Linked DNA regions of Schizosaccharomyces pombe. The protein of the gene in region 3 interacts with the protein of the main gene of each other region in a biochemical or structural test. Each region holds a gene or a part of one and is shown on either strand. Other genes may lie near its edges.

The links.
Region 1: the proteins of ape4 (region 3) and nbr1 are reported together in a solved structure, tested with the Schizosaccharomyces pombe proteins (one study listed by BioGRID).
Region 2: of the proteins of ape4 (region 3) and cit1, one has a biochemical effect on the other in vitro, tested with the Schizosaccharomyces pombe proteins (one study listed by BioGRID).

What each region holds. Positions count from the first base shown.
Region 1 is NC_003423.3:985,145-990,274, forward strand, and holds nbr1 (protein Nbr1), read right to left. Parts: upstream 3,366-5,130; 5' UTR 3,161-3,365; intron 2,858-3,160; 5' UTR 2,694-2,857; coding exon 1,500-2,693; 3' UTR 1,239-1,499; downstream 1-1,238. Other genes in the region: SHREC complex ATP-dependent chromatin remodeller Mit1, read left to right, coding at 1-1,180; subfamily NudF ADP-ribose diphosphatase Ysa1, read left to right, coding at 4,414-5,031.
Region 2 is NC_003424.3:2,325,491-2,331,153, reverse strand, and holds cit1 (citrate synthase Cit1), read right to left. Parts: upstream 3,327-5,663; 5' UTR 3,294-3,326; coding exon 3,292-3,293; intron 2,508-3,291; coding exon 1,058-2,507; 3' UTR 865-1,057; downstream 1-864. Other genes in the region: SPOM_SPAC6C3.03C (uncharacterized protein), read left to right, coding at 4,520-4,822.
Region 3 is NC_003424.3:4,831,281-4,836,024, forward strand, and holds ape4 (aspartyl metalloaminopeptidase Ape4), read left to right. Parts: upstream 1-1,609; 5' UTR 1,610-1,630; coding exon 1,631-1,880; intron 1,881-1,976; coding exon 1,977-3,148; 3' UTR 3,149-3,290; downstream 3,291-4,744. Other genes in the region: protein pdc1, read left to right, coding at 1-6, 48-688, 731-1,090; trm7 (tRNA 2'-O-ribose methyltransferase), read right to left, coding at 3,590-4,423, 4,642-4,665. UniProt on the Schizosaccharomyces pombe protein: Aspartyl aminopeptidase that is able to remove aspartyl residue at N-terminus of angiotensin I. Also acts as a chaperone and efficiently suppressed the thermal aggregation of citrate synthase.

The DNA.
Region 1 (5,130 bases), on a different chromosome or scaffold from region 3:
TCATAATTCAGAAAAAGATTTAGAAAGTATCTTGCGGCATGGGGCTCGTGCATTATTTGAAGAGGCTGGTGATGAACCGTCTATTAAGTATAATGAATATTCGGTAGAATTACTTATCTCAGAAGCTGAGAAACAAGAAGATACTTCAACTGATGAATCAGATATAAAAAGCAATAAGTTTGGCTTTTTTCGTGTTTGGGATAACAAACATATATCTTCCAATCATTATGAAGTCAAAGAAAATGTTCTTGTTGATGAAGAAGATGTCTGGTCAGTAATACTTAAGCAACGAGAGAAGGATGCAATGCTAGAAAAAACAGACGAAACAACTTCCAACAGGAGACTTCGTGCACACCACAAAATCCATTATGGCGAAGATTTAAATATTTATGATAATAGCGACGATACTGATTATACCGTTAATGATCGATCATCACCAGGCTCCCCATTTCCCATAGAAACTGAGACAATCAGTTCGATAACAGATACTTTATCTGATAAGCAAAAACTCAAATATGATTCGAGCGTAAATATCGAAAACTTAAATGATGAATCTGATTCTCAAAAGTCTGCAGATGTTCATTTTGACTCTATCTTAGCTAAATCTCTATTAGCAACAACTCCCAAAGAAGATGAATTTAACAAAACTCTATCCACCATCAATTTAGAGGTGGCTAACAAATTAACTTCTTCAGAGTATATTAATGATTCGGAAATGCAACTGATAGACGATCCAGTTTTTTACCCACCTTACGAAATAATTGAAAAAAATCATCAACTGGTTGGAAGATCTTTGTCTAAAGCAGTTCTTGACAACTTTTTTCTACTGTCTTCTTTGTCTGATAATGTACGTTGTCGATGTTGTGGTATTAAACATTTACCAGCACATTGTCCATTAAGCATTGTGCCATTAGAAATATGCTTTTTATGTGGAACACCTCACTTTAGTGGAAGGGACACGTGCCCTATGTTACGAAATAAGGAAGCGATTTATAGACTAAAAGATTCGCTTAGCAAATCACGAGAACCATTTCACATCAAAAAACAAGCTATGGCTAGATTAAACTCGTTTCTACAAAAAAAGGAGGAACCTACTGTATCAAGCAGTGCCAAAACTAATGAACTTTCATCGAAAGTAATCATAAAGGAATCCATAATTAATGAAGCAAAAACTCTTTAGAGTTTTATCATCAATGTATACTATTATTTAATCTGGCATATTCATATGTATCCTGCATTTTATTCGTTAATATATAATTTTTAATATAAATTTTAAACATATATAGCATTTCCATCAAGATCATTATAACAAGGTAGGATCAAATATGGTAACAAGTGATTCAACTCTGAAGCAAATCATGAACTTAAAACCGGCGGTTATATACGAACAACCGCCAGACAAGTGGACAAAAGAAAGAAATATAAAACTGAAATCAGTTTCGTTATCGTTGTCTTCCACACTAAACTTCTACAGGACATAAAAAGCGTTACGAATGGTTTCAAAAAGACGACTTACTAATTCTGCTAAAAGACTTCGGTACACGAAGGAAGGCGCAAAGACTTTTGTGAAAAACGCTACCATCATCGGAGCAGATATTAAAAAATGCGGTAAAAATCTCTTTGTTACTTTTTTCAGGAACCTTCAAAGCAACTGTAAAATTAACATCCTCACCAGGATGAACGGAAGAAGTGATAGGAAACGAATATGGATTGTCTCCTGGAAAAAGTTTGTCTCCACCATTAAACTTGACATACAACGGAGAAGGCCACGATTGACAAGAAGTATTCCTTATATGCCATATTTTATAAAACGGGCAGCCAGGGCTTAATTCTAAGGGGAGAATGGAGTCCTCAACTAACTTGAAGTCGAAATTAAGAACCTTAGGTTTTTCAGGTTTAGATAAATGTAAAGGTGAAGCAGATATTTCGCGAGTTAAACGGAGCATTGAATGATGATCATGATGCACATGAGATACACATGAGGAGCAAAGATCATAGTCTTCACAAACCAGACAATGAAATCTTGGTCCAACTATTGGATGAGCAAGACAGTTGTCACATTGAACCGATCGATGTACTGTTGAGGCAGACTCAAACAATTCGGCTGATAGGAACTGAGGGAACAAATGAAATGAAGGAAGACCATGAGGATAAGCTTTAGTAATTCGAACGAAAGCATGCGTGTTTGAATGACTATTGTCGGTAAGGCAAGACTCACAAATGTCGTAGTCATCACAAACACTACACTTGTAACGCACATTATGTATAGGTTGCTCACAATGGTCACAAATGGCGTACATAAAATTAGATTGGGGAGAAACTGACATAGAATTTACGCTGCAGGTTAAGGAAGCAACTGAAGGGATTGAAGAGCGAACAAGTACGAAATGGGGTTTTGGGCAAGGATGGAGGAATGCCTGTTTCGCATAGCAGTCTCTACAAACATCGAAATCGAAACACTTTGTGCAATGAAATGAGTCATTCCGAATTATCTTGAGGCAAGTGTTACAAGCAACAGAAGAAGACCTTAAAGTAGGCGAATTATTATTGTGCTCAAAAATGTTTGACTTTAAATTATTCTCCTTAGTGAAGTGGATATTAGCGACTGAGGAATGAAAAGGAGGGAAGGAAGGAACACTATGGTTGCAAAGAATCCCACAATCAGAAGAGGGACATGTACGATTGCAAAGCATTTCGGGATCAAAAACGTGAATAAAATAAAATAAAATTTAATGATAAAAGAGAGCGTTAAAGAAAGCAAAAAAAAGAAAAAAATCGCGTAAGCAGTCAAGAAGTAACTCGAGTTCTTAGGTAAGAGAAGGTCTTAATTGTAGGTAAAAAGCTCTTTCGAAATAAGCTAAAGCAAAATTAGTAACGATATTAACTAATGAAATTAGTTGCAAAGTAAAATTTAATAGTTCATATGAATTTTGAAATTGAGGAAATATGTGACGCCGAAGTGAGCAACAGTGCTAGCAATTTCAGAGTAAAGGCAATAGAAAAAACAATCTTTATCAAGACAAGGATTTTTACGTTCTCGTAAATATTTATCGAAGATGTTATTATTAAAGTTCCATCAACCACTTTAGTCCTTCAATCCTTTTTGTAATTTGTTGTACAAACATTGAACTTAAGACTTTGTGCAAGTAAATTATCTTACCTATAGACGGAACAGGAAATAAAGACAAAACAAATAATTGAAGCGGATGTGTAGAGATACAGTGCAAACGAAATGTAAGGAGCGTTGGAATTGCAACTATAATGACGGGTTCCTAATTGGTTATGAAATCAAGCTATTAATTCTAAATGGGATGTATTCAACGGGTGAAGTGAGCAGGACAAATTCGCTAGTAGAAGTTGATGGTAATGTAAATGAACGAGGTCGAGGTGTAAGCTTATCACACGTATATGGGGGATGAGCATATCGTACTGATAATAGATAAGTTAAGCGTCGCTAAAAAGTGGTAGCGTTTAGAAGCGTGCACAGCATAAACAGTAACTTAGCGAATTTATCTACAAGAGGTTGGTACTTCAACGCATGGCCCTAAAAATGAATATATGAAAAATTTTGTTGATGTAGCAAACTTGAAAAAGAAATTGATTTAGTTAAATTGGAAACTACTTAACTTAAGCCCTAAAATGTACTTAGAAATCGGCTTAGACATTAAACTAGATATGGGTTATGGCATAAATGTAATTTAAATGAGATGTGAGTCGATAAAGTATTAATATTATATATTCTTAAATCATAAGTTGACGCTATTCTAATATCAATAAGCGATTATGAACTGAAAACGTAAATAAATGCAATTTCTCTTACAGCGTAAAATCTTTTACTACAATAATAGAAAAGGGTAGGAAAAACTCCATTATATTGGCTAAAACCGGTCACGGTATCTTTTGATGATCCGTTTGTAAAATCAATTGCAAATGAAAAGACACTAGAGAAGGTGATAAACGACCAGTTTATAGCTAAGTTAATAATTAATGGTATACTCCGCGTTATGATTTTGCTCAAATAATAATTTTGGTTTTTTGCTGATTGTTAATATTTACATTAATGAAATTTGTAAATATACGTCAAAACAAATTAACATCATACTTACATTGTCATACTAATCGCACGTTTACGCATTAACGGGAAAAAAGTAAGCAATATTTCAGTTGGATTTTAAGTCACTCATGCACCGAAATTTTTTCCAGCATATTATTAAAAGTACAAGAACATTAGGTATAAATGCAACTTCATTTCTAACCCGATATTTACTTAACGTTGGTAGACACCAGCATCCTCCGAAATTGATTAGCTCATATTCTCACATCGCTATTTCCACCTTCTCTTTTCAAATATCAGCAACTTCATTCCAACACCCTTCATACACTGTCAAAGGTTTGAGCACCTGTATTGATAAAATGAGCCAAGATCAAAAACCTAAAGTTTTGGAAGTGTCCAACCTTGAGAATCAGGATGCCAAGTGGACATCCTTAAAGAAAATCCGTTGGCAAGACGAAAAAGGAAAAATCAGGTTTTGGGAAATGGCTGAACGTACGACACGTTCAGAAGCCAATGTGGATGCCGTAGCCATCTTAGCCATTGTTCCTATCGACGGAAGTCCTCATGTGTTGTGCCAAAAGCAATTTCGTCCTCCTATTGGCAAGTTTTGTATTGAAATTCCAGCAGGTTTAGTTGATTCTAAGGAGTCTTGTGAAGATGCTGCGATTCGAGAGCTTCGTGAAGAGACTGGCTACGTTGGTACTGTTATGGACTCCACCACTGTCATGTACAATGATCCGGGTCTTACGAATGCTAATCTTAAGATTATACTGGCTGACATTGACATGTCGAAGCCTGAAAACCAAAATCCTCAACAACAACTTGACGATGGCGAATACATTGAGAACTTTCCAATCAAGCTTTCTTCTTTACAAGAGGAATTATTTTCTTTAGAGAAGAAGGGATTTGCCATTGATGTTCGTCTCTCCACATTTGCACTAGGATTACATGCTGGTCTTAAATACTTGTCGTCTTAGCTATGCACCTTTTGCTATTCACTGAATTACGACCGTTTACTATTAAATGTTGCTAATGGACTTTTTATGCTATAACTTTCCTTTGTTTTAGTCAAACTT
Region 2 (5,663 bases), 2.5 Mb from region 3:
TTTTCTTTTACGATGGTAATACAAACGCCGTGTGATGGTTATATGTTGCTTCAATGTTTGTATTGATGTATAGAGGAGTCGCGTTAATTGTAAAAGATTGGCAGGTGTTTGGCGGTACGCCAAACAGTAGCAACATCTCAAAGCTACTCCCCACCAATAAACATTCAACTAGTTAGCAGTTATAAGTTAGATCAAAGAAATGGCCTGAAATTACAGATTTTAAGATCCAATCTCCGTCTTTTTTTATGAAGCAGCTACACCAAATCTATCAATGAATTTCAAGACGATATCTTATGGTAGCTAATAAGTCTTAATACAAATTACTCCAAATCATATTTTTTACTAATTATATTCTGCTTAATACAGCAATTCGTAAAATTGAAACAAATTGCGAAGCAATTAGAAAACTATCTTAAACCAGCCTAATGAAAACTAGTGAAATACGGTAGTTCAGGAATTTTTATTCATATATATATCTCTTCCATTTAGAAATTTTATCTTTTTCTATGCCACATACATAGCACGATTGGAGGCTTTGGAATTTGAGTCTCGGTGAATCAAAGTTCTTTGGTCTTGTGAATCCACGTGCAACTAAAAGGAGTGCTAACAGTGACTTTTGGTACGCTGTGTATATGCAGAAAAAGATATTAGACACCAATTAAGCCGGGACGAAAGCCTAATTGGATTGCTTTCGTCTGACTATGCGTGTTTTACATTCATACCAAATTAAATAATTTAGCTAAAATATATAGAAAGTTACCAGATGATGAGAAGGCCTTTTGAAATAACAATTTGCTTACTGAAAACTTATACGTTAGACTTTTTAAAGCCATGAATACAACAGAGTTAAGTAAATTCATTGTTTGCTATACCAATTTTGAAATTTATTATTAATATTATTGTGTTTGCTGATATATTTGCGGATATTCAATTTTTAAATGCAACGGGAATTGACAACACCAACACAGTAAAAACTAAGTAGGAAATAAAACATTTATACAAATAATGAATGAAAAAAAAAGCGCCGACATAATTTTCATTGTAAGAAATAAGATAATCATTTCGTTTCAACCATCTTCTTTAATGCTTCAGTAGAGAAAGACTTAGGACGCTCAATAGGTAGTCCCAAAGCTCGATCCCAGATGAGTTGAGAGGCAACACCGAGTGTTCGAGAAACACCGAACAAAACGGTGTAGAAGCTTTGTTCTTTCAAGCCATAATATTGCAAAAGAACACCAGAATGTGAGTCAACGTTGGGATATGGATTTTTGGTTTTTCCATGCTCTGTAAGAACACCTGGAACTATTTCATACAGACGGCTTACAAGTTGAAACATGGGATCTTTAGGAAGATGCTCAAGTGCAAATTCACGCTGAGCCGTATAGCGAGGATCTGTCTTACGAAGTACGGCATGACCATAACCAGGAACAACACGACCAGAATTCAAAAGCTTCCAGAGATAAGACTTGATTGTTTCTTCAGATAAATCATCACCGATTTCTTTCTTCATTGTAATCAAAAAGTTCAAAACTTCTTGGTTGGCAAGACCATGAAGGGGACCAGCAAGTCCATTTAAGGAGGCAGCCATCGACAAAAAGGGTGAAGAAAGAGCAGAACCTACCAAATGACCGGTGTGAGCAGATACATTACCACCTTCGTGGTCAGCATGGATGGTCAAATAAAGACGCATAAGCTCCACAAATTCCTCATTGTTAGCAAAGCCCAGAACATTAGCAAAATTGTACGAATGGTCCTTATCCATTTGAATAGGAGCAACAACACCATCACGGTACAAATTGCGGTAGATACGACCGGCAATTGGAACGGTCTTGGCAATCAAATCCATGCAGTCTTCATATTCATACTTCCAATAATCATGCTTGTTCATTCCACGCTCATATGCTTTAGCAAATGCAGAATCGTGCTCAAGTGCAGTAACAGCGAGAGAGAATTGGGCCATTGGATGAAGGGTAGGAGGGCAACGGTCAATGAGTTCTTCAACAAATTTGGGTAACTGAGAACGGGCGGCCCAGTCAGCGGAAAGCGCCTGCACTTGACTCAGAGTAGGAATTTCCCCGGTAACTAAAAGCCAGAACAAAGATTCAGGAAGAGGCTGTTTTCCGTTGGGAGAAGAAGGAAGTAATTTTTGGCATTCCGGGATAGTATAACCACGGAATCGGATACCCTCGTTAGGGTCTAAAACAGAGCCTTCCCATATTAAAGAACGAACCCCACGAGCACCACCATACATTTGATTGATAGTTACCTCACCAATGACATCTTGGCCATGTTCTGCGCGAAATTTTTTGATTTCTGCTTGTTTTTCAGGAATAAGCTCAGCTAACCGATCCTTTAAGGAAGAGGAACGAGTTGAGTAAGAAGATGTGAAAAGGGGGTTTAATTGACGGGAACGAAGCGACGCTTGAGAAAGTAACGACGAAGCAAGTCGTCGAGTACTAGCTAATCTTGTGTTTGTCATAAAACGAGGTGCGTTTAATATAATCATCCTAATAATTTAAAAGTTAGTAAAAAGTAAAACTTGGGAAATAAAAGAAGGCGTGAAATGCGGGAAAAGCTCCTTTGTAATAATATGAGAGAACGAAGGATATCAGATCAAGGAGATAGTGAAGGCCGATTCGCAAATTTAACAAACAGAAAAAAAGAAATAAGCAATAAGAATAGAAAGTCGGTTAATGATAATATCTAAGAGAACTATCGTGAAAAATAGAAAAAAAATTGACTATCAATAATCGCCAATGAGAAAAGTCACTTTAATTTCAAACAAGCTAAAGACGGGGTTTGTTATCAAAAATCAATAATTAATTTTCAATTCAACTAGTGTGCTTAATCTGAGCACACTCAGATGGGTCATAGATATAGACAGGAACCACAAATTTAGTAGCGTAGTCATTATCAATAACGGCATCTAATTTTAAATAGAAAAAAAAATTGAGCTTTTGAAGACCTTTTCTATCCTCTTCAAAGTAAGAGAAATGAACCCATTTTGAGTGAAAATTTGCATACGCTATGTATAGGATTGACCCCAAGATAAGCGCAGATGAAAAAAGTCCTAGCATTGGCAGACATGAATTAGAGCATCGAGTAAACTATATTTCCAACCAAAAATATAAGACTTTCTTTCAAGAAAACCGACATTTCGTAAGACCAAAAGGCCAACGAAACGCAAAATCAAAATTATCACAAAGGAGGATTTTCTAAACTATGCACTAGAGAATATCCTACTGCCTCTCGACAAGATCAAATCTCAAACACCTTTAGGCTTGCACTTACATGAAAAAGGGTATTACAATGCACCGATATTGGCTAAGGAAAGAATAATTGCTGGGATGGGGGACTATTTATTCGGTAAACCTGAGTACCATTAGCATGAACGGAGGGGAGGGTGCGACGTCAGTGCCCCATGATTCTGTCCATTCAACAACTAGCCAAAACCGAGGAGAGGAACAACCTTAGCATATAGACTCGCTTCTGATGTCGGTGAATACGAAATACAAAACCACTTAAAATTCAGTAAAGTGAAGAAGGTTTGTGGAGAATGACTTGGGCAACAAAGCCGAAATCCACCAAACAGTAAGAAAAAATTGTAATGAAGAAAGAAAGCCTTATTTATCACATATTTACTAATGAACTTTAGCCTACAACTTACAAACCCGTTGAAAAGTCAAATCTCACTTTTATGATTGGGACAGGCAACCTTGCATGGAAACCCGGTTCATCGTCGCAGGAAAAAATAATATTTTATTATTTAGATGTACTTTGATCAAAAATAAATTAAGGAGTAAGAAAATTTGAAAAGAGGCGTATCCGATGTTTCCATAATTGTTGAATGATACAAATTAGACTACATAGATTGATATTATATCCTTTCAACAATGAGAGAAACGAGATGGGTATGAATAAGTATTGATTTCCTACCAACAAACAATTTGTACATTTTATGCTTTGAAAACGTACTGATCTACATTACCATAGTGTCTTGTATTGTTGGCCTTGCAAGTGAAGTGCTATTTACTGTTACTATCAATAAACGCATCTTTGGTTCTTGGTTACCATACTTTGTGCTACAAATTTTATCTCTCATAAGTTTTTTTTCTTTTTTTTTTTTTTTTTTGAAATTTTAAATAGATAACAAGCCGAATTTCGAGAATTTGCTTGTCTTGATCAGGTAAAAAAGGGTAGTTGCTCCGATCGATCGAGCTAATGATATCAGTAAAGATCAAAATTTAGGAGAACTTCCGCGGTAGCGGATTTCTCAGTCAAACATAGTACTACAATAGATACAGAAAAGAATTGCTTAGCTATGCAAATATTTACTCAATGAACGTTGACTGAAGTAGCTTCATCTCTTGCATGTGCGTTACGGCAATGCATATGCATGTATCGGGAGTGAATAAATGAATAGAGATGTTGACAAGCGACAAGAAAATAATTTTTATAGGTAAGAAAGTTTTTGATAACTTTTTCTAACTGCTCAACCATTGCTATTGACGAAGTTTAGATGGATGTTTTTTTCTTAGGATTGCTAGTGGTAATCGCTATTTTCACTAACGCTAAGCGTTACAGCTCGTTTCGCTTTTTATTCCCATCCAAAAACTTGGACCCCAATGAGACAAAGTGGGGGTGGAATATTAGAATTGCGACTTTTAGATCGTTACTGAATACCATTCCAAGTATCCCACATTGGAGAACCATGTGGGGAACCGTTCGAGTTGGTATTGTACATACCCCGTCGGCCAAGGTAAGAGAGCGTGTAGACTGTAGTTACTACTTTTTGGCTAGAGGATTCAAAACTCAAAAATAGCTCTTAAAAATAAATATAGAAATGAATTAATTCAAAAACATATAATTTTTCTTCGGGATTCCTTTTTTTTACAACAACAGTCATTTCAAGTGCTTTGACTTGACAGACGCAACATAAATAAATAAATAGAACACTTTGATGCAAAGTATCGAATTCCAACATATCTCTCTAGACTGCTTTTCTATTAAAACCATGACTACTAGTGTTTCCATATAAAAATATAAAGAGATCCATCAACAACTAATACGTACATATTAGATTTTGCATTCCCAAATTGCTTCGTTATTTCACATACACCCATTTATTTAAAACGAGTTAAGAGTAACATCATTTGAAATCAACTGAAACATTTATATAAGCTGATTTTTCACAATCTTGCTATTTCACTAGTGTGGAACCTGGAGCTGCTTCATAGTTTTATACAATAGCATAACAAAACTCCAATAATCTCATTTATACTCTGACTCACCAAGTCGATGATGTGTATCTATTTAGGTTAAATTGATCAATTATATAATTGTTTCTCATATATTCCCTTACTTATCGTATTTATTATTTATTTATTTATTTTTATTTTTTGGAATATATACCGTCTAATTAATAATAACATGATTCTATCCACTACGTTATAAATAATGTTGGCTAAAAAAGTTTCTTTACGTAAAAAAAAAAAACAAAGTCAAATTGCTTTGCATACATGTGTCCAAAATTTACGATTATTGAGAATGATAGATAAAATCATAAATAAAAGTTTTGAAAGTGATGGAAGTTGCAATTTTCTTTCTTTATTGAAAACTTGTGCATCCATTTGTATTAGTAAACCAGCTTGGATTGTTAGGTA
Region 3 (4,744 bases):
AAAATTGTAAGTTTTTTTTAAGTTAACTTCACTAATTTTTTAAACAGATGAAAGCCTAAGATCTCAACTTTTGGAATATAAGGCTGCAAACGAAAAACATACGGAAGCTATTTTATCAGTCGTCTCCTCAACCTTAACTGAAAACACTGGTAAAATTCTAGAGTCGGTGGTTGAAAAATCGATGCAAGTGGCATTAAAGGAAGAAATTGCGAATTCCGTTAGAAATGCTCTCAAAAATAACTTGGAAAAAATTGAATCTTTTCTTGAGAATAGCATTGCAGAGCTGCAAAATTCTGTTCGAGAGGATTTTGATAAGCAGACTTCATCTCTAGCTCAACTGAGGTATAGTATTCAGAATGTTGCACATGCCCAGAAGGAATCTGAGGTAAAGTATAACGAATTGAATGAACAAGTTAAAACGCTTGAAGGCTATGTTGAAACAGTGCTTGAAAAGTTCAATGATTTGAAGATTGAGAATAAAGTACCAGAGACAGCACCTGATGTAGTACCTTCATCATATCCACCTGCTGCGGAAAGTAACGTTTCCGTGTCTAGCGATACGTCTACAAAGGACGTGGAAAAGCAGGAGCCTTCATCTGCTGAACAGCCTGCTCAGGGAATTGCTGAAAGTCTGAGAAGGCTAAAAGAATATGTTAAAGCTGGTTCTGTGAAAGAATGTGTTGCTGAGGTAAGTTATAAAATGTGATTTTTATTTTCTAATTTATTCTAGTGGTGTAACATGCCCTCTGTTGCGGGCTTTGACGTTTTGTCTGAAATTTCTTACGATAGAATGTTAGAAAATTGTAGCAATTTATTGCTTCTTACTTTTATTTATCATATTTCTCTCCTTGATTCTGTTGATGACGATCGCTTATCGAAGCGTATGGAATACATTTCTAGAATTTGTTTGAACATTGATGTTAATGACCCAAAGGTGGAAACGGTAGTTCACCCTGTTCTTACTTTAACTCGCGAAGCTTTGTTAAGGCAGTCTGAATTTTTCTCGCCTATTTTTAAACGCCGTTTAGTTGTTCTTTTGCGTGCTCTTGATGGCAAAATATCTGAAATATCCGTTGCATCCAGTAATTAGAATTATACTTTCTTATTTGGGATTTCTTAACAATTATCGTTGAATGTTTTTAGGATACTTCATCAATATGAGCCGAAATATAAATCTAATTTATTACTGCTGTAAATATTTTTATTTTAAAGAAAAATCATTGATGTCATGATTTGTTATGCCTTGTTGTTTATGTTAGGTTGCCCTCTTTTTCTTCGTTTTTTATTTTCGAGCATCTTTTTTAAGTGGTTTTGATGTCGCTCATTTCTTTTTACGATTTACTTTTCTTTTAGGGTTATTTATTTGCTAGATTAGTTAAGTTCATGGAATAGCAGGTTGTTAATTTTTGTATAACTTTCAGTTTTCATATCGTTCAAAAACCTACATACAAGCAGATCTCCCAGTCATTTTATAAACCATTTAGAAATCGTACTCGCTTTTAATAACCCAAGTGAACTCCTTATTGGGTTTATCGTTCCGGTTTCGACATGTAGTACCTACGGTATTGTCACTTGATTTGTACTCACCACTATGGTGTATTATTCCAATAACAACCGAAAGAATTCACAAATGCAATTACATGGAAAAATGACTGCCACTGCAAAAAGTTGTGCTTTAGATTTTTTGGATTTTGTTAATGCAAGCCCTACTCCGTACCATGCTGTACAAAATTTGGCAGAACATTACATGTCTCACGGATTTCAATACCTCAGTGAAAAGAGTGATTGGCAATCTAAAATTGAACCTGGAAATTCATACTTCGTTACTCGCAATAAATCTAGTATAATTGCTTTCAGTATTGGTAAAAAATGGAAACCAGGTAAGTCAAGTTCTCAATGAGTTGCCTCTATATGCTTCGCCTTAAACTTCAGTAGAGTTTGATTGTATTATTATTATTGTTTAACATTTATGATAGGAAATGGTTTCTCTATTATTGCAACGCACACTGATTCTCCTACACTTCGGTTAAAACCAAAATCTCAGAAGTCCGCTTACGGCTATCTACAAGTAGGAGTTGAAAAATACGGCGGTGGTATATGGCACACTTGGTTTGATAGAGATCTTTCTTTAGCTGGGAGAGTGATGGTTGAAGAGGAGGATGGACGAGTTATACAGTATAATGTGCATATCGATCGGCCACTATTACGCATTCCTACTCTCGCAATTCACTTAGATCCGTCTGCCAATTCTTCTTTTTCATTCAATATGGAAACAGAATTTGTTCCGCTTATTGGATTGGAAAATGAACTTGCGAAGGAAGAAACCTCTGATAATGGTGACAAATATCACCATCCTGTTTTGCTTTCTTTACTTGCGAATGAAATATCTAAATCATTAGAGACAACTATAGATCCTTCCAAAATTGTGGATTTTGAGTTGATTCTAGGTGATGCTGAAAAGGCTCGCCTTGGCGGAATTCACGAAGAGTTTGTATTCTCACCTCGTCTCGATAACCTTGGAATGACATTTTGCGCATCTCAAGCTTTAACTAAATCATTGGAAAATAACTCCCTTGATAATGAAAGTTGCGTTAGAGTTGTTCCCTCCTTTGACCACGAGGAAATCGGTTCCGTGTCAGCTCAAGGTGCTGAAAGCACGTTTTTACCAGCTGTTCTCCAAAGAATATGCGAGCTGGGGAAAGAAAGTTCTTTGTTTTCAATTTCCATGGTAAAAAGTTTTCTAGTTTCTGCTGACATGGCTCATGCCATGCATCCCAATTACTCATCTCGCTATGAAAATTCGAATACCCCATTTTTGAACAAAGGAACTGTAATTAAAGTTAATGCGAATCAGCGTTATACGACTAATTCCGCAGGCATAGTCCTTTTAAAGAAAGTAGCTCAACTCGCCGATGTGCCAATTCAGTCATTCGTGGTGCGAAATGATTCTCCTTGTGGAAGCACTATTGGTCCCAAACTTGCTGCCATGACAGGAATGCGTACACTCGATTTAGGAAATCCTATGCTTTCTATGCACTCTTGCCGTGAAATGTGTGGCTCCAAGGACTTTGAGTATGCAGTCGTCTTATTCTCTTCATTTTTTCAAAACTTTGCAAATTTGGAAGAAAAAATCATTATTGATGAATAGTTTACCAAGTTTGTTTATGTCTTACACCTCATGATACTATGGGTTCATAAGAACGCCATGAAATTTACCGAACTCGTATCTGTTGGCCGTGCTATGAGTAGTACTAGTTGCCTCTCTTATAGTTATGAAAATGATATCCACATGACAATTATAATCATAACCCCATGATTTGCTATAGCAAGGTATAAAGTTAAACATGACTAGCAAGTCTTTCAACGAAAGCATGTGTGTATCAAAAGTAATTGATTTAGATAAAAATTCATAAGAGGAAATTCTGATTATAAGTATACCGAACACATCCTGCTTTCTTTAATTTTTTTATGAAAAAAGAATGATAGGTTCAAAAATAGATTATACCTATATAATATACAATAGTAAAACCCACTGCTAAATTAAACGAAAGAAAAGATTAAATAAAAAAGAGACAATTGGAATAATAGGTTACGACATCATCTTGCTATGCTTCAATTCGATAGCTCGTTTATAAGGAGGAGCGGTTGGAGGTTGTATAACGTCTAAGGTAGCCTTTTTCATATTTATTTCAACGGGATAAGTAGCGTCCGCATCATAACCATCAAGGTCACCACATGCAATAAATGGTGCAATCTCATGAGCATTGGTTGGATCGATTACACATAAAGGTTTTGTTAAATCGGGTTGAAAATTAGAAGGGGGGTTAAAATCTTCACAAACGACAAAGGACTCGATAGAGCTAGCACGAGAGCTTCTTGGTTTAGCACAAGAAACTTTTCGAAACATCAAACGAAGCTGAGAGTATAACAGTGAAACATCTCGTCCACGAAAAATTTTTGCAACAAATTTCCCACCAGGCTTTAAAACACAAACCGCTAAATTAAATGCAGCTAACAATATCTGTGCTTGAATATATTCATCTAGGTCGTGCAAACCAGTAACATCTGGGGCACCATCACTAACTACGAGATCAGCCGGTTCATTACCAAAGTGAGACAAAATAATTGAAAGGGTGTTGGGATGAGTAATGTCTAATTGCAGGGTGCATACCCCATCGATTGGTGCCATGGGTTGAAGATCAACAGCAACAATCATAGGTTTCTCATCTGCGGCAATGGAAGTATCAATGTTTTTGAGTAACTCACGAGACAAAACTTGAGACCAAGACCCCGGTGCAGCACATAAGTCTACAACTCTTTTTGCTCCTTCAAATAAATTGAACTGTTCGTTTAATTGGAGCAATTTGAAAGCTGAGCGGGCTCTCCACCCTTGTTCCTTCGCCAGACGATAATAGGCATCTCTCTAAAAAAGTGTAAAGTTAGTATTTTAACAAAATAAATAGTTAAATAATTATTTAGCAATAAAAAAAAAATGAAATAATAAACTAAAATGTTTCTATATGCGACTGAGAAACATTAAAGTTTACACATTAATATACGATATAACTTCGATAAAATTAACGTAAACTTTTCGCTACAAAGTTAAGTATTTACAAGGTTTCAGTAACGCACGAGACATACCTTATCTTTGCTGCTTCTCCCCATTTGTTTTTCAGTTTGGTAAAAACTGGTTGAAATTATTATATTCGTTTCTTGCATCGATTGTATTGAATAAACATATCGT